7 linked regions of the Nothobranchius furzeri genome follow. The protein of the gene in region 5 purifies or fractionates together with the protein of the main gene of each other region. This does not show direct contact. Links are inferred from orthologs where the notes say so. Each region holds a gene or a part of one and is shown on either strand. Other genes may lie near its edges. The genes, in order: bag2, timm50, pin1, cct5, raf1a, lrrc59 and hsp90ab1.

Evidence for each region.
Region 1: the proteins of raf1a (region 5) and bag2 purify together in Homo sapiens (co-immunoprecipitation; 3 studies listed by BioGRID and IntAct, with this or other methods). This does not show direct contact. The link is inferred for Nothobranchius furzeri from reciprocal best matches to the Homo sapiens genes RAF1 and BAG2.
Region 2: the proteins of raf1a (region 5) and timm50 purify together in Homo sapiens (affinity purification with mass spectrometry; 4 studies listed by BioGRID and IntAct, with this or other methods). This does not show direct contact. The link is inferred for Nothobranchius furzeri from reciprocal best matches to the Homo sapiens genes RAF1 and TIMM50.
Region 3: the proteins of raf1a (region 5) and pin1 purify together in Homo sapiens (co-immunoprecipitation; 3 studies listed by BioGRID and IntAct, with this or other methods). This does not show direct contact. The link is inferred for Nothobranchius furzeri from reciprocal best matches to the Homo sapiens genes RAF1 and PIN1.
Region 4: the proteins of raf1a (region 5) and cct5 purify together in Homo sapiens (affinity purification with mass spectrometry; 3 studies listed by BioGRID and IntAct, with this or other methods). This does not show direct contact. The link is inferred for Nothobranchius furzeri from reciprocal best matches to the Homo sapiens genes RAF1 and CCT5.
Region 6: the proteins of raf1a (region 5) and lrrc59 purify together in Homo sapiens (affinity purification with mass spectrometry; 3 studies listed by BioGRID and IntAct, with this or other methods). This does not show direct contact. The link is inferred for Nothobranchius furzeri from reciprocal best matches to the Homo sapiens genes RAF1 and LRRC59.
Region 7: the proteins of raf1a (region 5) and hsp90ab1 purify together in Homo sapiens (affinity purification with mass spectrometry; 8 studies listed by BioGRID and IntAct, with this or other methods). This does not show direct contact. The link is inferred for Nothobranchius furzeri from reciprocal best matches to the Homo sapiens genes RAF1 and HSP90AB1.

Annotation. Positions count from the first base shown.
Region 1 is NC_091752.1:19,643,860-19,648,095, forward strand, and holds the start of bag2 (BAG family molecular chaperone regulator 2), read right to left. Parts: upstream 2,801-4,236; 5' UTR 2,547-2,800; coding exon 2,422-2,546; intron 2,238-2,421; coding exon 2,128-2,237; intron 533-2,127; coding exon 138-532; 3' UTR 1-137. UniProt on the Homo sapiens protein: Co-chaperone for HSP70 and HSC70 chaperone proteins. Acts as a nucleotide-exchange factor (NEF) promoting the release of ADP from the HSP70 and HSC70 proteins thereby triggering client/substrate protein release.
Region 2 is NC_091753.1:57,198,088-57,202,373, forward strand, and holds the start of timm50 (mitochondrial import inner membrane translocase subunit TIM50), read right to left. Parts: upstream 2,801-4,286; 5' UTR 2,783-2,800; coding exon of another isoform or gene 2,765-2,782; coding exon 2,561-2,764; intron 1,337-2,560; coding exon 1,180-1,336; intron 1-1,179. Other genes in the region: clip3 (CAP-Gly domain-containing linker protein 3), read left to right, coding at 2,745-2,782. UniProt on the Homo sapiens protein: Essential component of the TIM23 complex, a complex that mediates the translocation of transit peptide-containing proteins across the mitochondrial inner membrane. Has some phosphatase activity in vitro; however such activity may not be relevant in vivo.
Region 3 is NC_091744.1:9,158,834-9,162,894, reverse strand, and holds the start of pin1 (peptidyl-prolyl cis-trans isomerase NIMA-interacting 1), read right to left. Parts: upstream 2,801-4,061; 5' UTR 2,678-2,800; coding exon 2,620-2,677; intron 1-2,619. Other genes in the region: ubl5 (ubiquitin-like protein 5), read left to right, coding at 3,226-3,281, 3,750-3,833, 3,916-3,953. UniProt on the Homo sapiens protein: Peptidyl-prolyl cis/trans isomerase (PPIase) that binds to and isomerizes specific phosphorylated Ser/Thr-Pro (pSer/Thr-Pro) motifs.
Region 4 is NC_091747.1:54,098,038-54,102,063, forward strand, and holds the start of cct5 (T-complex protein 1 subunit epsilon), read right to left. Parts: upstream 2,801-4,026; 5' UTR 2,647-2,800; coding exon 2,542-2,646; intron 2,172-2,541; coding exon 2,111-2,171; intron 1,980-2,110; coding exon 1,815-1,979; intron 1,414-1,814; coding exon 1,215-1,413; intron 1,090-1,214; coding exon 897-1,089; intron 804-896; coding exon 654-803; intron 565-653; coding exon 445-564; intron 368-444; coding exon 182-367; intron 105-181; coding exon 1-104. Other genes in the region: mtrr (methionine synthase reductase), read left to right, coding at 3,494-3,637. UniProt on the Homo sapiens protein: Component of the chaperonin-containing T-complex (TRiC), a molecular chaperone complex that assists the folding of actin, tubulin and other proteins upon ATP hydrolysis.
Region 5 is NC_091755.1:58,347,345-58,351,265, reverse strand, and holds the end of raf1a (raf-1 proto-oncogene, serine/threonine kinase a), read right to left. Parts: intron 3,683-3,921; coding exon 3,563-3,682; intron 3,422-3,562; coding exon 3,397-3,421; intron 2,935-3,396; coding exon 2,825-2,934; intron 2,751-2,824; coding exon 2,633-2,750; intron 2,455-2,632; coding exon 2,370-2,454; intron 2,280-2,369; coding exon 2,103-2,279; intron 2,035-2,102; coding exon 1,988-2,034; intron 1,904-1,987; coding exon 1,785-1,903; intron 1,694-1,784; coding exon 1,562-1,693; intron 1,085-1,561; coding exon 950-1,084; intron 875-949; coding exon 725-874; 3' UTR 501-724; downstream 1-500. UniProt on the Homo sapiens protein: Serine/threonine-protein kinase that acts as a regulatory link between the membrane-associated Ras GTPases and the MAPK/ERK cascade, and this critical regulatory link functions as a switch determining cell fate decisions including proliferation, differentiation, apoptosis, survival and oncogenic transformation.
Region 6 is NC_091756.1:45,077,348-45,081,525, reverse strand, and holds the start of lrrc59 (leucine-rich repeat-containing protein 59), read right to left. Parts: upstream 2,801-4,178; 5' UTR 2,388-2,800; exon of another isoform or gene 2,297-2,387; intron 2,270-2,296; 5' UTR 2,179-2,269; coding exon 2,080-2,178; intron 1,984-2,079; coding exon 1,924-1,983; intron 1,589-1,923; coding exon 1,430-1,588; intron 1,038-1,429; coding exon 933-1,037; intron 862-932; coding exon 789-861; intron 608-788; coding exon 422-607; intron 332-421; coding exon 51-331; 3' UTR 1-50.
Region 7 is NC_091742.1:8,415,726-8,419,957, forward strand, and holds the start of hsp90ab1 (heat shock protein HSP 90-beta), read right to left. Parts: upstream 2,801-4,232; 5' UTR 2,660-2,800; intron 1,897-2,659; coding exon 1,753-1,896; intron 1,683-1,752; coding exon 1,476-1,682; intron 1,393-1,475; coding exon 1,233-1,392; intron 1,135-1,232; coding exon 1,001-1,134; intron 932-1,000; coding exon 623-931; intron 553-622; coding exon 387-552; intron 295-386; coding exon 104-294; intron 1-103. UniProt on the Homo sapiens protein: Molecular chaperone that promotes the maturation, structural maintenance and proper regulation of specific target proteins involved for instance in cell cycle control and signal transduction. Undergoes a functional cycle linked to its ATPase activity.

The sequences.
Region 1 (4,236 bases), on a different chromosome or scaffold from region 5:
AATTCGGTATGGCATTTTCCCATAAGACCTCTCCTTGCTGCTTCAAGCAGAGTCCATCTGAAATTAATTAAATGTGTAAAAGCTAACTATAGCTTTCTGTGAGGTTAGTGGAATTCAAGACACCTCGGCAAAGGGTCTCAGTGACCCCCGTTAGCTTTTGTGCCCTCCAGTTTTTGGTGATCCATTATCTTGATGTTCTTTTCGGCATTTTCAACGTTCCTCAGCAGAGTCTCCAGCCTTCGCTTTATCTTCTTCTGGTCCTCCAGAGCGCAGCTGATCACCACGGTCTGAAACTTCTGGTCAATAGGGACGAGCGGTGCCTCCGTGACGCAGGCAGCGTGCAGGGCCAGCAGCTGCTGACGGCCACCTTCCATGTCGCTCAGCAGCTTTTTCACAATCTCGTCTATCATAGACGTGGCCTTGAGTAGTGCATCCTCCTGTTGGGGGTTTCTGATTGTGCCAACAGAGATCTCCACAGACAACGTTCGGCCCATCAGACGGTTCGCAGTCAAAGATAACTCTTCCCTCTCACCTAGAAGACATGTAAACATATTACTAAATCTTTATAGGAAAGAAACTGCTTTTAATGCGGCTGTAACAGCACATCAATAGTCATTTCATATTTCTAAAAGTTTATTTCAATGAGTACAAGCTCTGATTTGTCTGAGATCCCACCCCACACCATAATACTGCCCCCACTGAAACCTGTTAAGCAATATTCATGATGTTCTCCATGATTCTGCCAACTTGTCAATAATAACAAGCTGACACCAAAATACCACTGATATTAATTGGAAGAAATGAATGCAATAACATTTCCAAACATATTTTTTATTGGGATGGACGATGTTTCTCTGGAGCATTTTTTGCCATATTGCTTGTTATGGTCATCACATCGTACAGCAACCAATAAAGTAAATGCTTTGTCGAAAAACTAATAATTTTCATTTCCTCTGAAACATGCAATCCCGTTCTTAATGACTGAATCATGATCCATCCATCAAACTCCCCTCTGACAGTCCCTCCGCTGTATGCGCATACCCGTATTTGTGGATGTATTGCGCATTCTTGGCTTAGAGTAGTTGAACAGGAAGCAAAGTCGGAGCCGGACTGCCTAGTGTTTAACGGACAGAATGTTCGGTTATGTTTGCAAATTTTATTCAAAGATTAGGTTATAACTCATCTTTTCTTGTCATCTAGAATCTTCTGGTGCTGATCTGTAACAGGCCCTTTTGCGCCATGAGAATCTATCGTGGCTGCAGGAACTGAAGTAGGGATAATCCCAACCCACCTCCCCACCTAGTGGACACTTATATTGTGTAATGCCTGAAGTCTGTTGCATCTCTGTCGGAGGTGGGTGTTTTTTTTTTTTTTGCATAGCAAAGCTGCCTTCCCAGTGGAGGGTAACTCTGAAGTGCCTTTTTTTCCCTCCACCTGAACCAATCCTCATGTAACCCTCTGATCTCAATTAGCACGACTCAGGGTTGCGAATGACCACAGTCACCAATTCTTGTCATATGTCTTGCCCATGTATGTCTGATCTCTGAATTGTGTGTACTGAAACTCTAATTTCCCTCTGGGATTAATAAAGTATCTTTGATTTGATTTTGATTGACACTCACGGCAGTGACTTTTGCTTACAAATGTGGTCTGCAGTAACCAAATTTGACCACAGGATGTCAGTCTTACATAATGCACCTTTACATAAAGCCCTTCTTTCAAATCCCTGACCAGTTGAGAGGAGTTTCTAGGTGAACCATGGAGCTCGTGTGAATCATACTAACTTACATTAATGAGGTTTAATGGAGCATAAACCAACATGACTAGACGGTCTACCCTGGTCAGACTCTGGATTTAAATAATGAGCTTTAAGGGTTAGGCCTTTTTGTCTGTTTACAGCGGAACCAAATCAATAAACCAGATGTAGGCTATTGACTCACACGATCCAGAGGTGAAACATGAGCCTGGTTCACACAAACTGGGTCTGGGTGAGATCAGAGGAGATGGGATTCTGGTAGAAATACATTAACCGTACTAGTTCCCCTTTATAACCGCGTATCTTCCCTGGCATTAAGCCGTGCGTGACTTTTGCGCTTATGTAAGTTAAGAGAGAGTTAGCAGCTTCACCAGCACAGATGTTCCTCATTTCTTGACTGTTCTGTATGGACTGAATCATTTCCAGGATGCACTCCCTTTCCTGCTCCATGGCAGATGCTGCTTCTCGTAAAGCCTCCACTCTGACACAGAAAGAGAGACAGCATATGAAATAACACGCTGCAAACCAGTTATGTTTGTTATGAAAAACATTTATTGTCACATTGCCCTGTTTACAGTGTTTATAAAAGGTTTATGCCAATAAATGTTAGCGGCCGGGGCAAATAGCGGCTCCGTAGCACACATGGTACAACAAGGGCCTGTTACCTCGTTTCCAGCTGATCCAAACTTTCCAGGAGTCGCCCCGAGCGGTCTGCCATAGAAAGCGTCCTGCTGAACTTGCTGCAGAGGGCAGCTTCGTTCATTTTCGCTTGTATTTTCGCTTGAGCCATAATGAAGACGAAGATGATGGCTACAGTGCTTTCCCTCGGTGAGCGCAAAATCCAGTGTGTGTCCCTCCGAGCCGTCCAGCTGGGTGTAAATCCTCGGACTGAGGCAGGCAGCAGCAGCGCCCCATGGGGGGAACATTTCCTAACATGGACTTCCTTCACTCCGGCAGAAAGTTCCCGAGGAGACCAGAGCTGGAGCTCCCAATCGTAAGGAGCGTGGACCAGCAGAGGTCCGTGAGCAAGCTCCTCCAGGTCCACGGAAATAAAAGACCTATAATGTTCCAACTCACTTTGCAGTTTTAAGTAATGTGTCTTGATTTATTTGGGCATAATTTTTATTAGGCAGATTGGTAAAGTAATCAAGTTATTCTGATAAACTTATCCAGGCCTATATATATATATATAATTCATTTTCACTCCAGACTACAGATGAAAGCCTGTGGTGGTCTGCAACCCGCAACTCTGGAGCCACAGTGGACCTTCCAGAATGGCTTTTACTTTATAATAATCATAGATATAATAGAAAAAGTGAGATTTAAGCAGCCTTTTGTTATGGATTAATTGAACTGAATTCCCACAACGCAGTGACACCTGTCATCTAGAGGTGAAAACTGCATTACACCCCTAGGCCTCTCAGTTTCCATGATTATGGCCTTTTTATGAACAGTCATGTTGTGCTGTTTATCATGTATATTTTAAAGACTTACTTGTCCATAAGAAATGTTACCAACTCTGCATCAGTCTGGGCTCGTCTTCCCTCTGATCACCTCTCCGTCCAATCTTCTTTTCGAGCTCCCCATGTGTATGTCGTTTGATGGCTTCCGGGGGAGCTGATTACCCTTTTGGGGGAGCCGTGATTTCAACCTCCCCCAAAAATCGCCAAGAAAATTTCAAAAAGATGTATTGCCTTGGTTATCACAGTACAGGCTTTTATGGATTAAAAGAAAATCATAAATAATTCTTGGAAGGGGGGAAACTCCAGGTTGCTGCTTTAAAGTACCCATGAGATTTTTACATCTATTTTTTAAAAATAATTTCCCTAAATATAAATATCTGGTACAAAAAATACATTCATACACTTTTGGCAAAAGTTTTCTTCCTAAACTCAAAATCTAATAGGAACAAAATGGTGTAAATATTTATGAGACGTCTAACCTTAACCTCAGAATTCTGATTATTTTTCCCTCAGAAAAGAGAAAAAGAACTTCTTCTTCAGTGGCCCTAATCCTTTTATGTAAATAGTTCAACAATTATAAAGATCTTGTTTCAAAAGGTCCTGTAACAGTTACCCATGGTCCAGAGAAGCTGTGGTGGACGTCCCTTAAGGTGGCCACCCTAATGCGTCATTCCCTGTTTTGGGGACATTTATAGAAATGATTAACAAGAATTATTTTGGGGAAAACTACATCCACACAAACAAGGTGATCCCAAACCGACACAAGCAGATTTCACAAGCTCTTGAAAAAAATTCCATCTGTTCATTAGAAGTTACCTGTTAAACTGTAAATCAGCACAAGTGCATAAAGGCTCCATCTGAAAACTTCACCAATATCTGAATGAAGTGTAAATCAAATTTAATTTACACACACACAACTACCTTTTATGTGTTAAAAGTTACAAGACATCAACACATTTATCTGAACAGCAATAAGACAGAAATTCTTCTTGTCGGAACCAAATGTATGATTACTAA
Region 2 (4,286 bases), on a different chromosome or scaffold from region 5:
TTTATGCTCACGATCGCCCCCTCAGGCCAAAAGCGTTAACGGCAGCTTCAATAGTAGGCTCGTGCACGAGGCGCGCATGCTGTACGTGCACACTCCTTAACGAAAATAACAGCTGAGACAGTCCCGTGTGTGTGTGTGTGTGTGTGGCCCGGAGGACAGGGGAACACGCTAGGGCTGGGCAATCATATGATCGCACTTTGTGATCACGATCATTTTCAGTTCAATTACGGTGATCAGCTGGGAGTCTCGATCAGAAATAACAGATGTGTGCAGCCTCAGTAGGGGGCGCTAACACTCCATGCGCGTTGGTTGCCCACTGCCATTTAACAAAAAGAAGAAGCATTTGCAATTACACTTTTCCTGCTCCGCTACTTCGAGGAAGAGGTTTAATAAGCAGAATGGCCAAACGTGGAGCTGAAAACAGCGAAGTAGATCCCAGTCATGACTCGGAGTTGTCTTCTGGAGATGATGACATTGTTCAGAAGAAAAGTTACTCAACGTCAGTAGTGTGGCGGTGGTTCGGGTATCTCAAAAGTGACGTTGAGCCTGAACCCGCCGATGTGGGAGGAGTCTCTCTCTCCCCACTCAACTGCGCCCCCGCTGTGTGTGGAAAACTAAAATGGAAGATAACCTGCAACTCAGTCAGCTGTGGAATTGGGCTCGGCTCTGGACAGTATACCCCACCCCCTCCCCCGCGCTGCCTGTTGCCGCCACCATAACACACGGGGAAACCCCGGATGTTACATCAGTCAAAAACGCAAAAACCGCAGCTTTGACGGTCACGTGATCGTTAGGGATGCAACGATACCACTTTTTTCCAAACTGATACCGATACTTGGATCTGAGTACTCGCCGATACCGATACAGATACTTCTACCACACAAAAAAATTAAATGAATTGGAATACAGGTTTTATTTTCTTCTGTTTTCAATAGGAAAAGACTGTAAGGTAGATAAAAAGTAATATAAGTGATTACAAAACTAAAATATTAGGTGAACAGAAATGACAAGTTAAAGTGAAGTCAAGTCAAGTCAAGCAACTGCATTGGTATCATTTACTGGTATCGGTTAACTTTTACCGATACCGATACCAGTATTGTATCGGTGCATCCCTAGTGATCGTGCTGTTTGAAATCACGATTTCGGTCCAAAAACGAAAAATCGTTCAGCCCTACTCACCAAAGATGTAGACAACGCTGACCGCTCCGCCAAGGCCTAGGAGTCCCGCCAACCGCAGCACCATTTTTTTTGCATAGGCCATGTTCTCCTTCTGTTTCTTGTCATCTGTTTGCTCTCCTTCCTTCTTGCTCTGACCTTCTTCTGTAGGTGGCTGGCCCTGGAAAAACAAACAATAACAATAGATATTTCATTTGAAGTCAAAGCAGATCACCATGACACGTGGGGTCCCCCCAAGGATCAATTCTCGGACCACTGCTCTTCAATCTCTACATGCTCCCCCTGGGCCAGGTCATACAATAACAACATTACCTATCATAGTTATGCAGATGACACCCAGATCTACCTAGCTCTATCACATAGTGACTGTGGTCCTCTCCACTCACACCGCCAGTGTTTGGAGCAGGTTAATGACTGGATGCAGTCAAACTTCCTCCAGTTAAAGACACGACTGAAGTTCTTGTCTTTGGAAATCTGAAGGATAGGATGGAGGTTATTGATCGACTTGTCTCCGGAGGAATAAAGACCCAGGTTAGAATCTTGGTGACATAATTAGGGATGCGTGATATATCGGCATCGATGTCGGTATCGGCCGATGCCATGTCGTGTTGGTTTTAATGTTCTTGCTATTCTTGCTAATGGAAAAGCATATTGAACTGCCTCTGTGTGTGAAATGTGCTATAAAAATAAAGCTGCCTTGCCTTGAAGTCTGATTACAAGTCAAAGCTGTGATGCTGCACTGAGACACGTTAGCTGGACCTCTTGTTACCTCCAAAAATGATATTAAGCACCAAACAAAAAGATTTAATTCAACAAATGTTGTCCTTAATCTGGTGGGTCAACCAGGATTAGCGCCTTTGACCAGGTGAAATCACAGATTTGCAGATGATACAAAAATAAAAGCCTGAACAGGTGAGTATTTTTACAATACAGCCAGAAAATAAATAAAACTTCTGACAGAGCCACCGTTTATGAGGGCAATGGGATCTCAAACACTGATGGATGGGTACTCTAACATCCCGGAGATGTTTGGCATGAGTTAGAGGAGAGAAGAAGGTCCTGTTCTGTCCTTCTAGCCTAAAGCACCTTGACTGTTATTTTTCTAACAGAATGAAGCTTGGCTGAAGTCAGTATGAGAGAGGACGCAGCATTTTACCTGCAGACCCCACGATTACGGTCACGCACAGCTACAGCAACACATAAAACCAACGAGCAATAATATAAACCCTCCCGTGGAGAAACCTGCACAGGTAACGCTTAGCCGTCCGTGGCTAGATGTAGCTTCGGTTTGATATAATGGGGATTCTCGGAAGGGCGGAGTCATGACTTAAACGTACAAACTGCACTGCCTTCGCCGCTGGACAGAAAACCGAGCGCACCTCACCTGGCTCTGGTGCTGCTGGAGTCGCTCCTGGAGGATAGCCTGAGCTAGTCCGCTCGTCGCGCCGCGCGGTCCGCCAGACGGCTCGTCTGTGGAGAGTGTCCGGATGATATCCATCGCTGCCAGCCTGGAAGCACCTACCGCTCCGTTGCTGAGCCTCAGGAGGCCGTGACTCGCTCGGACACACATGGGGAACACAGCCGACATCTTGGATTGTAGCAGCCGGTGAGCGTGTGACGCAAGACTGAAAGACAAAGATCTGCGATTGGTTTGGCTCGCGTTGACGGACCAGTACACTGTCCAATCAGAAACGGAGTTGTCCACGTGGTTAAAAGAAGGGCGGTGCTTAGTAAATTTAGACCAATCAGAAGTGAAAATGAGTCTGACCTTCGGATGCGACACAAAACCACCATGACGGTTGGTGGCAAATTCGCCCTAGTCAAATGGGACTTTGTAGGTAGTTTGTGAGGTAGCGAGCCGCCATCTTGGATGGGTCATTATTTGCCCCCGTGCAACTATATCTACGGAGAAACTATAAACCTACTAAAACAAACCTTTTATTATGCTTTTTCATTAAGTCAGACGCATGGTATGGCATGATAAATAAAATGTAAATATAAACAAAATGAATGAAAATATAAAATCCCAAAAGGAAGGCTAGAAAAGTCTATATTAATCCCACGTGGTCTGTTTTCAACAGTGCGCCAGGTGTTGCAACCACTCTGTGTTTATGGTTGCAACCGTAGGCTGCACCAAAAACAGGCATAGTTCCCCACTCTTAGTTTGGAAAGTGCGGAACCCATCCAATATGGCGGCAATGCTGTTACTCTCTCCAGCGCCCAGTGGTGCAGTTTACGTATTCGTATGGGTGTGGGCGTCACCAGTAGACAAGCGGAATGGTTCTTTTACAAGGATTCAGTTCTCATCTTTTAATCTGAAAAGCCGAACGAAAGATTCAGTTTGTTAGTGAATGTCACATCTGTGTTAAAGGATCACTTTGCAGCTTTGGCCTGATTTTAACATGGAAACGTGAGATTACAGGAGGCCTGAATCTGACTGAGACTGGTAACCCTAAGGAAACCACCATCACAATCAGGTGATTGTGGTGGGTTCTCCACAGTTGGACTGAATACAGAAAAACAATCAGAACAAAGACTAAAGCTCCTAAGCTTGTAGATCCTCCTTCAGGAACTCAGGAATCATCTTCTGTTTGACACCATCATGGTTCTGGAGGAGTTCTGCTCCATTCTTCTTAAAGGTTGCTGACATTCAGCTCTTTGAAGGTCCTAAGTCTGGTTCGGGTCTGGACACTGACTGGACCTCTCCAACATCTTGATTCTGTTGTAGATCTGCTTCCATGTTCTGGATCATGATTATCTTTTATGACCCAGTTTGAGATGATCTCCAGCTGTCAGACAGATGGTTTCACATTAGAATCTAAGAGGCTTTGGTATCCAGAAGAGTTCATGGTGGATTTAATGAGTCCTGTTGGGTCGGAACCAGTCCAAACCATCAGCCCTCCACCACCGTGCTGACTGCTGGGATCAGCTGTTTGTGCTGTCATGCATTATGGGTAAACATCTATTTAATGGGACATCGTTCCAGAAACATTCTTGTTCATCCAGATAACAACCTAAGTTGAGCTGTCACAACTTTTAACAGAAAGAACTCAGGAGGTAGAGCAGGCTGTAATCTGAAGGTTGCAGATTAGATCTAACCCTAACTCTAA
Region 3 (4,061 bases), on a different chromosome or scaffold from region 5:
TACATCAAATATACACACGAACAGACATCAGCTCATTAATCAACAAGAGGCACATAACAGATAATACAACCTTCCAAAAGGTACATTTTGTGATTGTTTTTGTTATACAGGGTCAATCAGAAATAAACATTAAAGACTTATTAAAGTGAGTTCTGCCTTCTTATTTACAATTAACTTTATGGTGTTAACATATGAATGGAAGTCATTTAAGAAAACGCAAAAGTTAGGGAGAGATTTGGAGACCCTCGCTTTATGTATATGAAATTTCCCTAAAAGAAGCATTAAATTAATTATAAAACTTAACCTTTTATCATTACATTCAAACTTGATAATAACATCCTTAGATCTGATTTGGATAGTGTGTTTGGATTTAATCATAATGAAATTTTCCATATCTTTCCAAAATCCAGATGAGAGAGGACAATTATAAAATAAGTGTATGATAGTCTCTGAACCAGTATGACAAAAGGTACATTTCTCATCCAGATCCTTGAACAATGATAATTTTTTGTTACATGGATAAATATTGTGTAAAATTTTGAAATTAAGTTCCCATATCTTGTTTGAAATACAGTATTGAAAGTGAACCATCCATGCTTTCTTCCAATTTATATCAAACTGTGTGTTCCAGAAAAACGTTCCTTTGGGTGCCACTGTATCAGAACAACATAAAACCTTCCTTATATGCTGATTTGAACATTTCTTGTCTAATAAATCAATACCCCCAACTTTTAGAGATGGCATCTGCAAACTAAATCTGATAAACAAAGTGTGCTCTCATTAACTCAACTATGCCTGAAGAAATGGCTCTCATGACCGAGGCAAATTCTCTGTATTTCACTGGAAAGTCCTTAGTTTTCAAAAAGTTTTCATAGGTATAAAGGCTTCCGTTATCATCAAATAAATCCGCGGCAAAAATGATGCCTTTCTCAACCCAATTCATTTTGTATAAGCTTTTGTTGTTTATGGTAATATTACCATTATTCCATAATATTTCTTTGTGTGGGGAGAAATTATGTGTATGGCATAATTTCCACGCACGTAAAGCCTGCTGGTGAAACATTGAAAGTTTCACTGGTAATTTAGAAATAATAAAGTTGCAACGTAACAGAAAATTTAAACCCCCTACCATTTTAAATAGGTTGTGTGGAATAAAATTCCATAAAGATTCTGGCATTTCTAGACATTTTTTAATCCATTTGACTTTAAAGGTGTTGTTTAAGTGGAAAAAATTTAAGAGTTCTAAGTTCCCCCTTGCTCTTTCCAGATAGAGTATGTCTTTTTTTAGATGATGATACCTGTTCTTCCAGACAAAGTTTACAAATAAACTGTTAATTTCTTTACAAGTTGCATCATTAACATGAAGGGAGAGGGTGGGATATACTAACCTTGATATGCCTTCCGCTTTTGTTAACAACACCCCGCCAAAAATAGAGAGGTCCCTTTGCAGCCACATATTAAGAATCAAATGAGTTTTTTTAATCCTTGATTGCAGATTTAATGTTTGTCTCATCATTTTGTCTTTTATTATGTGAATTCCTAAATATCTAACAGTTTGTTTGATGGGAATATTGAACATATATTGGTCATTGGTTTCATACAAACATAAAATTTCACTTTTATAACATTTAGCTTCAGTCCTGAAGCTTCTGAAAATTCTCGTATTGCATGTAGAGCATTTGGTATCTGTGATTTATCTCTAAGAAACAAGACTGTGTCATCTGCCAATTGGGACATCTTAACTTCTTTATTAAAAATTTCTAAACCATGAATATTTGGATTGTGTGAAATATTTAAAAACAACAGTTCAGCGGCAATCAGAAACAAAAAGCAAGACATTGGGCAGCCCTGTCGTACACCTCTTAATATTGGAAACCTCCCAGACATCTGTGGATATAAAATTATTGAGCTGTTTATATCTTTATAAAGCATTTCAATAACACTAATAAACGACTCTCCGAACCCTAACATTTGAAGTGTTTGTAAAATGAAGGTGTGTTCAATCGAATCAAATGCCTTATAAAAGTCAAGGAAAATCATCAAAGCATTTGAGTTTATAAAATGTGAATAATCGATTAGATCCAACACTAGTCTAATATTAGAGCTAATGTGACGTTTGGGAAGAAATCCGTTCTGGTTTTCACTTATTATCTCACCTAAATCCTTTTTAGTCTTTTCGCATACACCAAAGATAAAATTTTGTAATCAACATTTAAAAGTGAGATAGGTCTCCAATTTTCTATTTTTAAAGGATCTTTGTCTGTCTTAGGGAGCAGAGTTATAAGACCTTGTTTCATAGTTGTTGTGTCTCGCGCTGTTTTGCACGTAAGGCATCTGGGCGGGGTGACGTAATGCAAGGCCCTGCAGCCGAACTGAATGAATTAGCATTTAGCAAACACGAAACGACACCACTACACAACAGTCACAAGCTGCAAGTAAGAAAACGACGTTCTGCACGAATCCGCGCATCGCTAATTAGAAAAACTTATTTCAAATTTCCCATAACTGTTTCTTTCCACACCACAATGCACACGCTGCTAGCAAGTAGGCTAAGTTTACAACACACCATTTATAAAGACGAAAAGCTCTTTTTTCCTTCAGCAGTTTATGTTTGAATACCTGAACTACGGCTCATTCTCTTCTCCCATCCAGTCGGTAAATCCTCCTCCTCTGACATATTAGTTTTCTGCAGCAGAGCTTCCAATTACAATTCAATGCCTCAACGATGCAACAGAGAGGCGTTTGGGCTAATCTATGCGACAGTTGTCGATTGTTTACGGCACACGTTGTTTTCGGTGTACAGTCCGCCCTCTCTTCTCATGCCTACAAGCATGCCAGTCATTTGTTGGTTTATTTGATTGGTTTAGAGGATGATCACATGGCCAAACGTACTTTACGGCTAGTCGTGTCTCGAGAGCGTTCCAGAAAATATCAGCAAGGAAAGAATACTTCTTGATCTTCTATAGTTTTCTGGGTATGTAAGACGCATAGGAAAATTATTTTGTGTAATTTAACGTTTATATAAATGTTTTTAATGAATTTAAGGTAATGCATGTGCTTTGATTTGTCGAATAACAGCACGAGGGGTGTTGATAGCGTGTACACTGTTTTTAGCCAAACAAACGTTGTTTGTGTTGACACATCGTGCTTTCTTATTGTGTGAGTTATTGTTTATTGTCAGACATTGAGTCAATCTCGTCTCATCTTATTTCTGACAGAAGCAAAATGATTGAGGTGGTTTGTAACGATCGCCTGGGCAAGAAGGTTCGAGTCAAATGCAAGTATCCTTCCTTGGACCCATAACAACAGTGCGATGACTTTTTTTTTATTTAATATAAATAAAGATAATTCTTTATATGAATTAACCGGATGAGTCCACCTGAAACCGCCATAAGGGAACCAATCCCTTAAGTCTATTTGGATATCTTTTACCCCACACACAGGAAAACGAATGAATTTGTCCCCTAGATTCCAGTGAATCGTTCCAGTTCATTTATCACTTCAGTTACACATTATTTTTCCTAAGTGTAAGCAGTAGAGAAATGCTGAAATCCCTGTTGAATTGCTCAGAATTAGATTCAGATTAACCTGAAAGTGGAGTAATGATCATATTTGATTATTGAATCTCTGACATCTGAGCAAACCCACCATGTGTGTTTAACTGGAATCCAATAGGTCACTAAAGCACATCTTGAGTATTTTTGAATGTTTTCTGCACTTTTGCATGGCTCCTTAAATCCCAAATTCAGCTCAGAAGATACCATTGGAGATCTGAAGAAGCTCATCGCTGCTCAGACTGGAACGCGACATGACAAGATTGTGTTAAAGAAGTGGTAAGATACCTGTCTGGAAATTATTCTTAATATATTTTTGTTTTGCATATTTCTGTTAATGAAAATTAATTTGTTTTCACAGGTATACCATATTCAAGGACCACGTGACTCTTGGTGACTGTATCCTACACATTTCTGCACTTTTGGGGATCTGGTTATGTTTCCTAAACATGCTGAGTCACCTGTTTCCTTCTGCATATGTCAAGTTCACACGGTGTTAAAAACCTC
Region 4 (4,026 bases), on a different chromosome or scaffold from region 5:
GCTATCTCTGAAGCTCCGCCCCCATACACAATACGGTTATCTTTCACCAAATTGCGGATTACACACAGAGCATCGTGGAGAGCACGCTTGGCTTCCTCAATGATCTAATGAAAAGGTTTTGACCATTAGACATGAATGTGATGAAAAAGGACAAAAACGATACAGCCTTGTGAGAGCGTACCATTTTGTTGCCGCCTCGGATGAAAATGGTTACAGCCCTGGTGTTTTTGCACTCCTGGATGACGAGCATGTGATCCTTGGTTGTGCCAAAGGAGATCTCCTTCACCAAGCCAGCGGTTCCGAGCTTCTCTGGTGTCAGCTCGCAGAACCTCGGCACAATACGGCCTCCGGTAGCTATAGCAATCAACTAACAAAACACCAAAGGGTGAGCTCGTAGCAAGGGTAGCTCATTCTGACCTTTCACATGCAAGACTTCTACCTCACCTCAATCTCAGGCCCTCCAACCCAGCGCACAGCAGGCAGCTCGCTTTGCAGCAGAAGATGGTTGGCCTCATCATCAAAGCCCCACTGGCAGATGGCCAAGTTAGCACCAGTGCTTTTGACCTAGAATTAAGGTGTTTTTATTCTTCCTTGATTTGCATGAACCACAAAAAGTCATTTTTGTAGCATCGGGATTTGTGAGAATTACTAACCTGCTGGATCATCTCCTCAAACTTCTCTTTTTCATAATTCTGGAGGGCTTTGTAGTCCTCAACGGAGGTCACATCCAACTTGTGTTTGGTCTTGGGTTTAGGAGGCTCAAACGGGCAGGTTAGAATAGCGATTTTAACATCTTTGAGAAGCTAATTGAAAAGAGAATTTGTTAGCTCAGGCACGTTAAAGCATCACAAAAATGCAGCAATATTTACAACAAACATTTATATTTTAAATCATACCTTGGGCATCTGAGGGTGGCTGAACTCCTTATCCACTATGACTCCCTTAATGAGCTGTGTGTCCTCCAGCTTTCCTCCCACCTTGCCCTCCACCTTGATGAGCTCAAAGTCTACATCCTTCCTTTCCATGTCGGCCACAGTGAGGATGGCATTCACTGCAATTTCCGCCATCTGTCTGTGGCACCGGTTGATGCTAGATAACAACAATAGGATTAAAAGGTGATTTGTCAAATCTCAATAACTCACTTAAAAAGCAGCCAGGTCACAGGGGCACAGGAAAATGGCATCAACAACTACTAAAATAATAATTTAATTTACACTTTTGACCCCAGCGTTGTCATGGCAGTCTGAATGAGTGGTTCGGTGTTGTTGGGATCGAAGGGGAAAGTTTCTGCTATTTTGTCCAGCTGCTCTATGGCTATGCGTGCAGCTTGGTCGTAACCATCGGAGATCCTGATGGGGTGGATTCCTCGGTCCAGCAGCTGCTCGGCCTGCTCAAGCAGCGATCCAGCCAGCACTGAGGATGCAGGAAAATAGGTAAACAGAGTCAGAAATGCATTAGAAGAGCAGTAGGTAGTGGAGGTAGACCGTTATGGGGTTTTCTTTCCCCAATACCAACAAGTATGAGTCATTGCCGATACGAGTTGTCACTTTTTGGCCGATATCTAGACATTTTCTGATTCATTTGCATGCTAAAATGCCCCAATAGTAGCAGCACACAAATCACTTTTAGGAACTCATAATTTACCTGCCAAAACCTAATTTTATGCACTTTACCGAATTAAAACTATTTAACTAAAATAAAAATATCAATACTAACCAAGAATTCTATATAAAATTAATTAACACAGAACATATATCACATGTTCATCTACAAAAAGCATTCACACAATGTTCCTTCTGCACACGTTTACACACCAACAACTCCAGTGGTTCCATCACCAATCTCATCATCTTGGGATTTGGACAGTTCCACCATCAGCTTGGCAATCTGGTGGTCCACATCCATCATGCTGAGAATGGTGGCGCCATCATTAGTGACAGTTACTTCTCCATCCTTGTCAACCATCATCTTGTCAAGACCTAAACGGTGACATGACATGGTAAACCTGCTGTGTTTGTAACTAGATTAAATTAATAATCTAATGGTCACACAGACTCTCGACATCTCAGCAGTTATTCAAGTGAAATGACATCACTGCACTGGATCGTACCGTTTGGACCCAAAGATGTCTTAAGCGTTGATGCCACTGCCTTGGCTGCCATTATGTGAGACTGTAAAACAAAACAAGTGCATATCAAAACACATTTTACCTCTAAAAGTCACCCTCAAAAGGCATGTAAACAGCGTGTCGGCTGTATGGGTGATGTACATGACCATGCAGGGTACAGCCCTATGTAGCACCTCCTACTAGATGAACGCACAGGGAGCACATGGGCCTCTTCTTAGCATAGCTAACGAATTCATTTCATTTCCTAATCTAATTCAGCTTATTTTGCACAAACATCAGAATGTGTTGGACAAATTCACTCATGCAACACAAAGCCGTATGTATAAATTCGTGTTGTAACCAAATTAAATATCTAATAGCAGGTTTGCTTGTTAGGCCATCACGCTACATGTATGCTAGCTAGCTCATTGTACCTTCAGTGCATCAATGCCCGATAAGCGTGTCTTCTTGTCTTGGTCTTTAATGATGATGAAGGGCCTTCCATATTCATCAAAGGCTAATGTGCCCAAAGTGGACATGCTGATTTGGAGTTTAGAACACACAATCGGCGTTTATCTGACAGAATAACGCGTTTAATGATGTGATCCTGGAGTGTGGCTGAACTGCAAGCCGCACGGATCTGCCGGGGACTTCTGGAAGGCTCCACGGGTGGGGAGGGCGGAACCAAATTCAGTTCAGCGTGTTTTCTTCCATTCCTGTCACCTTTTTTATAAACGACAAAAGGCTTGAACAACTATATCATAAATTAGTCACAATCATACAAATTAATATCATTGCAACTGACAACAAATTTTAAACAAGGGGAACGTCTTTGTCGTAACTTGGTTTGTTCCGATCACGCGCAATCTCAGTTTGAGCTCAGATCTCGCGTGAATTCAGTAACAAGACTAATTACCGGTATGTTGGCAAGGAGTTGACGAGGTGAATTTTCATACAATTTAAAAAGGTAGAAATACTTTATTAACTTTAAACTGCTTGTATTTCCTGTGTATTTATTACGGACTAATGCCAGAAAACACGATTCTCTAAAGAAAGTGAGTCGAGTTTCTCGGAATTCCGAATTAGTTTACGGACCAAATATGAAATGTTATGTTCATAAAGTGTTCTTGAGTGAAAAACGTCCACGTGCGCTGTTTTGGTAACTAGTCAAAGTTTGACGCAACATCCTGGTACTGACGGTAATGGTGGCGTAGCGGTGTGTTAAACGTGTTTCTGTGGCAGCCTGCCTTTTATTTGTCCAAGTATGTTGGTAAGCTGAGATGTTTGTTAAAATGCAGCTGATAATTGATTAGTTAGTCTCACTATTTTACCTGTGGCGTTTTAGAATTGCCTAAATATTTATCTGTTTATCTGTTTCCCCCCAGCATGCCTTGTGAGGTGAAGCATCGATTTGTGGTGCTGTTTGGGTCCCAGAAGGGCCAAGCTCAGGCTATAGCTGAGGGGATAGCCGAGGAGGCTGAGGAGCACGGTCTGACTGCTGATCTCAGCTGCTTGGACCAAAATGAGAAGGTAGATGTTAATAAATTTACGTGAAACAGACTCAGTAGCCGCAGGAATTTGCCAGGGGCCTCGTGTATTAGGACGAGTCTAGCAGGTCAGACTACTCATGTATTAACACTAAATCATCGTAGCATGCACCCTTTTCCCACACCTATTTCACGGCTGGCTTATGTGCTTTTCTACCTTTACCTGCGTGTTTGGTGACACTTAATAGTGGGCTTGCAGGGAAACAGTGAAAATAAATATTGTTAACACCAGATGCACAAAAAATAAATAATAACTTCACGTGTTGCAATTACATTGTTGGATAATAAAGCATGCATATTATGTGTCCAGTGTTCACTTATGCTCAATATCACCTTTGATGGATCATATGAAGGAATTGTGCGTAAATCCGT
Region 5 (3,921 bases):
TTCAAGAAGAATCTGTTCTTGGCTTTTTCACTTAACTTTATTAAAATAGCAAATAAAACATTCAACCTCATCAGTGTGACATAACAAAACAAATTAGTTCCCAAGTCACTTTAAATATTTAAGACACCTGCCGAGCGTCCAGCTCGCGACGCGGAGGGTTCGGTCTAGTGAGACGCTCGCTGACAGACCGGATCCAAAACCCAAAAGTAAAGTTACACAAACAAAAATCCCAAGTCTAGTCCGTTACGATTTAAGACGTAATCTGCTACTGTGCAATAAGATGGACAACTTCCAACGGCTTTGTGATAACCAGAGGAGGTGAGATTGTGCAGAAATACAGTTGAGGTTGTTTCCTCTTAAGGCAGGTAAGCTTAAAAAAAATAAGAGTCCTCTTCGTCGTAAACCAGGGAGGTTTGATCAAAAGGATGGCGTGTGCCTCCTGAGCCTCCTTCAGCGTCCATCCGTCATCTTAGGTAGCACGGGTGTATTTATTTATTTACAAATAATTCACCAACACGAAGCCTCGTTCTGCCTCCTAATAGGGGGATGTACCATATCCTGACCCTCTAAGGATTTCTCTTCTCTTTAACTCACACATTTATTATTTAGCATGTCTGAAATGACAAATGTCTGTAGGGCATCTAAGATTGTGTATTTGTGAACAGGAAGAGCCGTCGTGTGAGGAGAGGAGGAGGAGGAGGAGGTGCCGATATTCTCCAAGAGCTTAAAACAGGCTTAAAACAGGCAGTCTGGTGGAGGTCAGCGTGCACGTGTTGATGTCCTCGGCCTGTGAGGCTCTGTGCAGGGACGGCTCTGAGGCGCTGCGGTTTATCTTGGGGAGAGCGTGCTGGAGGAGCTCGATGGAGGACAGGATCTATGGGAGTAAATGAATGAATGAACTCAACAGGAACATCTGTAATCCTGCCAACAGCTGGAACCAGAGGCTCACCTGAGGAAAGAGCGGCCTTTCATCCTTGAGCTTCTTGATGCAGTCGGCCACCAACCTTTTCATGGCTTTGGGACAGTTCTTGTAGAGCTTACTGAGGTCTGGGGACAAATAGCCTCTTCCCACCATGAAAATGATCTGAACAGAAAACAGGAGACATAAATATGGAGCCAGGAGGAAAACGATCCCGTTTAAAAATCCAGCAGAGGTCAGTGCAAGGGTGGGAGGACAGCTGATCGATGGTGAATCAGCAGTCATTCTTTAGTTACAGTGCGTGCGTCTACGGTGTCAGACACCTAGCACACCAGAGGCAGCTCAGCAGAACAAAGTACCTGGAAAGTGGTCCAGAGCTTTCGTCTCATCTCCATAAGTCAGGCTGGACCTCGTGGCCTGAGAGGACCAACACATCTACACGCGTGCTTTAATGCTCTTCCCTCCCACAGGGTTGTGTTACGAGGACTAAAATTAGGCCAGCGGCTCCACAGAGTCCGCCTGGGCTGCATGGCAGGCCTTAGGCCAGCTCCACAACCCCCTTCACCCCTCCTGAGCTCCACGGTGGGCCTGAGCTCTGACACACGTCCGACTGTGGGCTTACACAGGGACTAAGGTGTTTACCTGATCTCTGTTCGCCGTCTGCGAGTACGGGAGCTCTCCCGTCATCAGCTCAAAGAGAACAATTCCATAGGAATACACATCAGACTGGAAGCTGTAGGGATTATTATCCTGCATCCGGATAACCTCGGGTGCCTGGCAATGACAATAGCAACAGAATCATCACGGAGAGTCTTCCTCGTTCACCGTCACGGTCCCAGCAGGGTTCGAGTAGCAGGTGTCTCACCATCCAAAGAATGGATCCAGAAGGCTGCTCCACCTGCTGGGAGCCGCTCCACCTAGCCTTCACCGTGGCGAGACCAAAATCCCCGATTTTCACCGTCAGCCCCTCATGCAGGAAGATGTCTGCGCTGAGGTCAGGGAATCATAACCAAACACACAGTGGGACGTTTTCATTCACTCACTGTGAGACGTTCAGAGAAAGGATACTGTTGGACTTCATGTCACGATGAATGATGCTCTTAGCATGTAAATAGCTGGAAAAGAGGGACAAAGCTATCATCATCTGATTTATCTGTAACTTGCCGTTGTTTTTTAAGCTTACTCCATGCCCTGAGCCGTCTGCCTGGCAATATCGATGAGCTGGATCATCTTGAAGTTGGTCTCCAGGACGTGAATGTGTTTGTACAAGCTGCTGCCCTCGCACCACTGGGTCACGATGGCCAGGTTGTCCTTCGTCATGTAGCCCATAAACAAAAGGATGTTCACATGTCGCGTTTTCCTGCAACCAGGGGTGGAGGGGAAGAGGAAATCATTATTTTGTAGCTAAACTAAGATTTTAACAGTTAGCTGGTGTGGAACTAGCTGTAACCTTAGGACTGCCACTTCGTTTCTGAACGCCTGGAACTGCTCCGGTGTGGGGTTGGTGACCTTTAAAATCTTCACTGCTACGTCACCTGCAACAAAAATGCACAACTTTGGGTTATTTTGGCCCTACAGGGCTAGTTTGACAAGAAATGATGCATGAAGCTGTAGTTTTTCACGCGTTTAATGAGTCGAAGAACTCCTGAACACATCTGTCAACATCTAAGCCACCGTGTGAGAGGTTCTGACTCATGCTAACTGCATTCCTACCGTGCCATTTTCCTTTGAACACTGTTCCAAAAGAGCCCGAACCGATGCGGGACTGCAGACACACCTCGCTGGCCTCGATCTCCCAGTAATAACTGGAGTCTCTCTTATCCCGGGGCCTCTGCGAGAAGAGAAAGCAAAAAGGTCTGAACACAGAAGCTTCGGCTAACACACACGTCAGAAATTTTGACTCACAATTTTGTTTTTCTCCTGATTGCTGAAGGAGGTGATTTTTTCACGCTGGTGAGGCGGGGGAGCTTTGGACTGGGACCAGCCTGTGGGGCTCTGGTTGGGGGAATTTCCCGCTGTGAAAACAAATAAGTTATTTATTCTTTATTTTGTAATTTTCATACTGCATCAAACTTCCTTCCACTACTTCTGTCACTCATCATTTTGACTTAAGTCACAGCTCAGTGATTATTAGCACTGTTACGACCCCGTGGGTCGTTCTGCAGCTAACGGTTGGGGTAACGCAGAACACCTGATGACCTGGAGTCTTTCTATTAGTAAATTCGGAAGTTTGGGGGCGTCGAGTCTCGGCAAACACCCAACAAACCCACCAGCCTACTTCCAAATCAACAGATTTATTTCTCAAAGCTTTGTTTTGGTTTTAACATCCCTTCTCTTACGCCAACATGATCACCAATGCTAAAGCACTGTGGACAGCTACGGGTGTCTCACCGAGTCTGATTGGACATCACTTCCTTCTAAATGACTATTACATGTGCATGATTAGAAACCAGGAAGACGGCTGAACGGGTACTTACCAGAGTCATGATCACGCATCACATGCTATAGGAAAAAAAACATTATATTAGAATAAATGATCAAATTAGCACAAATGTGACGTGCTACCACTGATGATTTGACGGCTGCATTGACTAAAGATGAGAATGCAGACATGCGCTTCACACAGAGTCTCTGCTTTCTAACCTGTCCTGGACTCACAGGTGAGGTCTCCACAAAAGCCTGGGAGAAGTGCACAATACCTACTTTCCTCTTCAGCCAGAATCTGTGGCACCAGAAGACGGGAGAGGTATTCAAGCAGTCTAGCTGCTCTCCAGTAGGGTACAAAACAACAGACCCACAGGGAGACAGGAGGGACAAAAGGGGACAGAGTCAAGGAAAGAGAGGAAGAACATGTGGATTCCTACCTGAGCAGAAAAAAGGTGGATTATGAAACCACTTGTGAGGTGGTTGTGCAAGACTAAGGATGGAGATAACGCCTAAAGTGGAAGTGAACAAGCGGAAGTGTGGGAAATGTGCAAGAGCATTTAAAACATGCTGAAATA
Region 6 (4,178 bases), on a different chromosome or scaffold from region 5:
GCAGACAGGAGGAGGGAGAGCTCAGTCTCGTTTCTGCATGCTCCTCTGGATCAGTTCTTAGTTGTTTGTGAAGATTCAACAAGTTCTTTTACGGCGGACGACAGGTTCAGCAGCAGCTGTCTGGCCACACCCTCCTGCACTTTGACCCAGGATACGCCGTCAGTGACGGCGGCGTTGATCGGCACGCAGACGGCTTCCTTCTGTAGGTCGGTGAGCTGACAGGCAGCGACGATTCCTACCATGCCCAACATCAGCAGGAGGAGGAGCTTAAACACCAGACCAATGAGGGAACGGCATGGTTTAGGTGCTGGCTTTGCTGCAACGTTTTTATCTGCAGAGACAAAACGTGACATCAGAACATCTTCAGGCTGAAACTACAAACGTTTCTCATTTCAAACACGAACCATCGCGTTGATCTCACCTGCTGCTTGTCCATTTTTCTTTTTCTTCTCATTTTTCTTCTGCTGAGCCTTCGCAGCTGCAGCTGCCACCTGAGCGTTGTACTCCTTCCTCCTCTTCTCCTTCTCCTCTGCTTTTTCCTGTTTACGGGCCTCCCTCTCTTTGGCCTCCCGCTCCCTCTGTTTGGCCTCCCTCTTCTTCTCCAGCTCTACGAGCAGACAACGTTGGGTCAGTGGGTTGACTTTGATGCTTTTTACACTTTAATCTGAAACCAATTTCCTACAAATGGTCAAACATCTAGCTTCACAAATCTTGATGCAGGAGGTTTTCTTTCACACCATCGATCGTCTCTTTAACACCTTTTGTCTAGAACATTTTCATTTACCCACCTTTTTCCTTTAAAAGACGTTTCTCCCGTGCGCGATCAACATCCTCCTGAATTGCTCTCATGAGCTGCAGAACCTGAGAAATGCAGTCATTAGTTACATGTTTGTTTTGGTGAACAAGCTGATTAATGAATGAGTCTCTGCCACCTTTATGGCACACAGTTTACACTGCTTCTCATCCAGGCAGTCTCCTGCAGCTTTAGCTAGGCCAGGTTCCAGAGGGTTATCCTTCAGATCGAGCCACTTCAGATTCTAAAACACACACACACACACACACACACACACACACACACACACACACACACACACACACACACACACACACACACACACACAGTCACTTTGGACTTGGACTGATACATCAGACAACAGGAGTGTGACATTTATCAAGTTTGAATTGTGATTTTAGCTTCTGATCATAAAAAACAACATAATGAATAGATTTCAATTAAATTGTCACATTCTGCATTGCCAGCATAATTTCTCATGTTTTACAAAGTCAGAGCCAGAGCAAGGGCCCACGGTACAAGAGTAAACCCCCCCACCACAGCTATACAAGGACGGGGAACATAAACAGATCCAGTGCTCTGAGGATCTCCATGTAAAACGGGCGGTGTGTTTGAGCTGCATGGTCCATATCTTACCCTGAGCTGAGAGAAGCTGACAGGCAGAACCGTCAGCTTGTTGTTGTACAGGTCCAGATGTTGAAGGTTGACTAGGTTCCCCAGGTCATCTGGCAAACGGGTCAGCTGGTTTTTACTCAAGTCCAGCTTCACTAAGTGAGTCAGGCTGCAGAACTCTGGCTGCATGAACAAAATAAAAGTAAAAACATGATTGCAAATTATTCAGTTTGAGCAACATCAACCCGCAAACATGCTTAACAATAACAGCAGAAACTAGATGAAAGTGGATAGGTAAACCTCGAGATTTTAGAGTTTATAATTATTTATGCAAGAAAAGAAAAGTTTGAATCACTCTCTCCATTTAACAATGTACAGCTCGGTTTAATAGAAATTCAAACTTTTAAAAGAAAAAGTATCTTTGGTAGCTTTAATGAAACATACTGACGTGGATGCACTCACGTGCTTTCACTTAAAATGCTCAATATTTGCTCTGGATGAGTCAGTTAGACACTTACAGGAAGGGAGATGATGTTGTTGCAGGACATGTCCACGGCAGTGGCTTTGGGAAATGAAGACTGTTAGAGAAAGGAAGGTAGTTAAACCATGACATCACAACATCTCCTTATCTGGCTGTATTTATTACAAACATGTAAACACCCTGAGTGACTTACGAGCTCTTTGACTGGTACCTCACTGAGGTTACTCAGGCTCAGGTCCACTTCATTTCCACTGATTTTATCCCTCAGGTTTAACACTTTGTTTTTACTCATCCTTCAGTCCGAGGCGCCTCTTGCCAACACACCGAGGTTAAACAGATCAGTGGAGATACTTCTGATCGCCAGACAACAGGAAACCCTGAAACTACGACGATTTTATAAGATTTCTCACCTGTAAACGATAACCGTGGAAAACTGCGTCCTAGTTTAACAGCCGGTAAACAACATCGACATATAAGACAAACACACGGCAGGTATATTACGTCAGTTAGAAGAAATTTGGTGCACAAGCTTTGAATCGTGTTTCTGGCAGTGGCAGCACTGACTGAACGAAAATCCACGTCACTGATTGAGCTGCTACGCGGAGACGTTAGCGCAAACCACGCAGCGTCCCCTGCAGGACCGGAGGAGACAAGACGCGCTTTGAATCTCCCTCTCCAAATCCTAACCCGAGGCGCTGTCCTTCTCTTTAGCATGGAGGCAATAGTACATTCATCACAAATTCTGACTTAAGTTTTCTTAGTGCTACTTTAAAGCAGATTTAAAAAAAATCTGTTTTCCCATAAAGTATGACTTAACTTCTGAATGTTTAACCTCCGTGTTTCCTTTTCGGGCCAGAGCAATCTTCTTTACTCAATTGGCCCCACCCCCCTGATTTAATGTGTAAGTGACAGATTAAAAAAGCAGGAGGAAGTGCAGCACAGGAACATTAAATAACTTAATAAACAGTGACATGATTATAGATATCTGTATTTTTTTGTCTTTGTGGCTTATGTAACGAATTAAGGATTAGATTAGGTACTTGTGTATTTATTTTCAATTTTATTTTATCGATGATTATTTAATGAGGTATATGCCACCAAGCTCTTCTACCAAACGTGGAAGACATGTAAAGGGGTGGATGTGGCAGGTTTTGAATGAAAGTACTCAACCTAATACTTCACTGGTGTAAGACCAAAAAAGATTTGTGCCAAATTGGGGCCATTTTAAAGAGAAACCTTGAAATTCCCTTTTTGTTAGCTCAAACATCTTCTCACAGACAGTGCAATGCATACACTTTATTAATCATTTTAATAAACAGCTATGCAATTTGTATTTATTGTTGCTAACATAAAACAATTCTGCACTCAAAAACCAGTTGTGAGTCAGCCTCACAACTTATTTTTGATGTTGTTTTTTGTTTTGTTTCGGAAAGGCTAGTCTGTGCTTAACCAGCTGTAAAACATAAAGCACAAGAACAGACTGGCAGCTGTAACATAGAAAACAAAATAAACTTTGTTGATGGTCTTAATTTTTCTGGTCCAGTAGCTGGTCTTCCTCTCCTCTTGTATGCCACTGAGGAGGACATTCATCGTTTTAATCAAGTCATTTAGTTCTCCTGAGAACATTTCAGAGGAATGTGGTTCCTCGATCAGCTGACTGCCAGAACCCTGAAAAAAAGAAAGTAACAAACAGCACAGAAAAGGTGAATGGGCCATTTGTGTTTTCTACATGTCTTTAATAAATGCCTGTTAGGACCTGTGTCCTCTTGTGCTATGATATTGTATTCTCTTCAACTTAGACCTGTTTTTATTACTAACCCATGCCATTTGCATCATATTTGCTACATGAGTTTCTGAAACCTCTATCTCATTGACATGATCAATATTTGCCTTAAAAACGGGTTGTATATAATCTGATACATGTATTTTGCCTCCTACTGGATTATTATGCCAAACAGGCAGCTCAAGTTTAGTTTTGATCATTCCCAACATGGCTACTCCCAGCGAGTGATCCATTTGCCCTTTGTCAGGTAAATCATTACTAATTTTTGAGAAGTTGTGGTAAGAATAACATAAAAGTTTAAGTAATTTTTAACACAGTCCATCTGACTGTTTTTATTAAGTAACTCATTCTTTATATTACAGTTAAACCATGTTAAAATGTCTGTATCAAATTTGATACTGCAGGTATGAAATGTGCTTTTTCCCAAAATTTTCATTTTGTAATTCATTCTACATAATACTTACTAAAATACAAACACATGCCATTTTGATTGTCCTACAATGATTCAC
Region 7 (4,232 bases), on a different chromosome or scaffold from region 5:
AGCAACCAAACATGATCTTTAAATGCAAAATACAGCAATGCGTCCCTCAGTTTATAAAACACACCAAGCCAATTCAGATGAATCCACCATTTAGTTTCAATACCTTCATGTTCTTTGAGAAAGCCTCGTAGAATTTCTTGTAGTTGTCTTTGTCCTCCGACAGTTCTGCAAACAGCTCCAAGCACTTCTTGACTATGTTTTTGCGAATAACCTTCAGGATCTTGCTTTGCTGCAGCATTTCTCTGGAGATGTTGAGGGGCAGGTCCTCAGAGTCCACAACACCACGGATGAAGTCTTGAGTGGACAAAGTAATTTTAAATGCATTAGCCATTTAAAGAGTCTGTGGAATCATTTCAGACCACAGTGGAAAATGCAGCTGAACTTACTCAGATACTCAGGAATGAGCTCCTCACAGTTGTCCATGATGAAGACCCGCCTGACGTACAGCTTGATGTTGTTCTTCTTTTTCTTGTTCTCGAAGAGGTCAAAGGGTGCACGGCGAGGAATAAAGAGCAGGGCTCTGAACTCCAGCTGGCCTTCCACAGAGAAGTGCTGAAAGAAAATAAAGCATTAGAAAAAAAATCAGCCCGCAGGGTTAAAACTTTGTCGGAAACTCGTGTACCTTGACAGCCAGGTGATCCTCCCAGTCATTTGTTAGACTCTTGTAGAATTCACCATATTCTTCATTTGTGATGTCATCGGGGTTCCTGGTCCAGATGGGCTTGGTCTTGTTCAGCTCCTCCTGATCAATGTACTTCTCCTTGATCTTTTTCTTCTTCTTCTTGTCCTTGTCTTTGGAATCCTCCTCATCATCTGAACCCACATCTTCAATCTTGGGCTTGTCTTCAGCTTCTTCTTCTTTCTCCTCTTTCTCGGTCTTTTCCTCCTCTGCCTCGTCGTCACTAATCTCCTTGTCGCGCTCCTTCTCCACCTGCGACATAAAAGCTTTAGAAATCTGCCCAAGACTTAAAATTTTTAAAACGTACTTTTAAGCACTTACAAACAAGGTGATGGGGTAGCCAATGAATTGAGAGTGCTTCTTAACGATCTCCTTGACCCTCTTGTCCTCCACATACTCTGTCTGGTCCTCCTTCAGGTGCAGAATGATCTTAGTTCCACGGCCAATGGGCTCGCCTGAAAACATTTGAGGAATTTTCAGAAAAGCTAAAATAAACTAGAGTAAGCAAGTAGTGCACACTCAGACGTCACTGGTGATGGTTAGAATTACACACCGCTGTCAACCTTGACTGTGAAGGAACCTCCAGCAGATGACTCCCAGGCGTACTGCTCATCATCATTGTGTTTGGTGATGACGACCACTTTCTCAGCAACAAGATAAGCAGAGTAAAAACCCACACCGAACTGACCAATCATTGAGATGTCAGCACCAGCCTGGAGGAATAAAACAAATTTAGCTTCACAAGATCAGTCAGTCTCTTAAGATCCTGTGCAGGCCATTATGGGATGCGTAGTACCTGGAGGGCCTCCATGAAGGCCTTTGTGCCCGACTTGGCGATGGTGCCCAGGTTGTTAATAAGGTCAGCTTTGGTCATGCCAATCCCGGTGTCAATCAGGGTCAAAGTCCGGTCAGCTTTGTTGGGAATGATGTCAATTTTCAGATCTTTGCCAGTGTCCAGTTTTGAGGGGTCAGTCAAGCTTTCATAGCGGATTTTGTCCAGAGCCTGAAAACAGGGAATAGCGGTTAGTTTCTTCCTTAAAGTCAGAAGAATACTGAAGCTTCAGCAGACTCACATCAGAAGCGTTTGAGATCAACTCCCTAAGGAAGATCTCTTTGTTGGAGTAGAAGGTGTTGATGATCAGGGACATCAGCTGAGCGATCTCTGCCTGGAAGGCAAAGGTCTCAACCTCCTCCTCTTGGTGCATTTCTTCAGGCATCTGAAAATATAACAAAGTCACTTCAGTAAATGAAAGTGAAACAGAACTTAAGATAGTTTCAAAGTAACGCGATTTCGTCAAGTGGCTTCATTAAGTTGGATGGCCGCTGCAGCAGTCTGCTACATAAGGGCGGAAGTGTCAGTTAACAAACATGGCTTCTACTAGACAATGGACGCAGCAAACACGTGCTGGCGAACGATTAAGGCGGATCAACTCAAGTCACTTTAATAGATAAACAATGCGACGACGACTTCCATAAATACTACAAACGTACTTGTTTTAGCCTCCATGTGATAGTTTCAGTAAAACGTGGAGGTTAATTGAAACCGCGTTCAATTACGTAACGACCAAATGAACACTACCCCTCGTGGCTGGTAACCAGGCCTTATTACGCACACATTAAACTCAGTGTACCGGTTTAACGTGGGTTTATAACGGATTTAATCAGGCCGAGAACTCGATCCAGCGGAGTCACCGTCACCACACCTGCCTGACATCACGGTGCCGCATTCCCGCTGCTCAAGAGCATCACTACGATGCTCGGAAACATAAGCAAATAGTAGTCTCTCGAGAGGAAAATGAAAACATCAGCCGACGTACTAGGCGTCTGTCTTCCACGAAACACTTATTCGACCACCATATTAACCTCTGGATTTTCATTAACTAATAATGTTCGTTAAACACATACATACCGATGATATTTTAACAAACTTATAAAGGTAAGGATGTCTGACACGAGCTACGGACCCGTTAATGTACGCACCTTGGTAATTTCGTTGACTTTTTCTTGAATAAAATGCAGCAAAAGTGTAGTCCCTTGCGCTCCCTGACTGAAGAAAAAGGAAAGGAACTACTTTTCGGCACCAGACCAGTCTTTATACACGTGGGTCGCAGTGTGCAGTCGTATCCATCCGCAGTTCACGAGCTACAACCTGAAGCAATCACTTTTATGTAAAACCGCAGCCAGAACTAAACACACATTGTATGCTTCCTCACTGGAAAAGAATAATCTATTATTCACGTTTTGTTGGGTAAAAAGGGTTTAAATGCCAATTATGCAATCTAAGTAAAGAAAATGTATACGAAGTCGGACCTTAGTGTAACGTTGTCGCCATCTTGTGGTAGGTTGAGCTACAGCAAACCATGCACTGAGAGGCGATGTTTTTTGATCTCAATCATCCCATCTAGCGACAACATAGAGAAATGATTCGCATAACACTAAAACCACGCGTCAAGTTCAAATCTCAAGTGGCGTCTAGTTTCCCTGAAATTCGACATAGACTGTGGGTCTTTTTACTCCGACGGATGAATATTTCAAACACGAGAAGGTGTGCTTCGTTTCTTCTAGCCTGCTTCTAGCACTTTCCATGAAAGCCCCGCCTTAAAGTGACGTCACAGATCTCCCCCTTTCCTCTCCCGACGTATCATCTGTCACAAAATGTTCCTACAGCAAAAACGCCTTAACAACCATCAACTCAACCCTTTTCCGTACTGAATCATGAGAATATATGCTTTATATTGTCAAATGAACTAATGGTTGTTATTATATGAATTACAGATTTTCTTATGGACATAGAACACCAGTGGAAGATGGACTGCTATACATAAATGTAATACTATATTTGTCATGTTGATCACGACTTTGGAATTGAGTTTTTAGTACAGTGTAAGGGGAAGAAGTCACTGTTGTCAAGTGGATTAGAGTGGAATAAATGTACGCAGTTAGACCCATCAAATGCAAGAGATGCACAAATGATTATGATTCAGCTTTCTATTATGTAGTTTAACTACAGAAGACACATTTATAAATTTAGATAGTAACCTCAGTGATAAATAACAGAAGTACAGTCATACTTTGCATACAGAATATGTTATTTATTAGTTACAATTTCAGAATTGGTAAGAATGACCATTTTAACAATAATGTACACAGAATTTTTATGTACTCTTTTAAAAAACATTTAAAAAGAAGTTTAACATTGAAATAATCATATGATGGCTTTATCCTCTAATTGATTAAAACGAGTAGGAAAATCACAATGCTGTTTTTTTATGTGATCAGATGTTTTGTAAATTAAACCGATTAGAAACAAATCGTTTTAATAAAAAAAATGCGGACCGCTTTTTTGGTGTAACTTAATTTCAATGCTATTATTATTCAACCTTTTTTATTCATTTAGTTACTACCGCGCATTAGGTCTTCCAAGGTTAGTTAGGTAATCTGATCGAACCCTGTTAGCAGAAGTTTCGTTTCCTGAAAAGGGTTCATTTTGCGAATTCACATTAAGCCCCGTTCAGTGTATACACTCTGGTGCACAAAACAAGCGCGCCAGTAC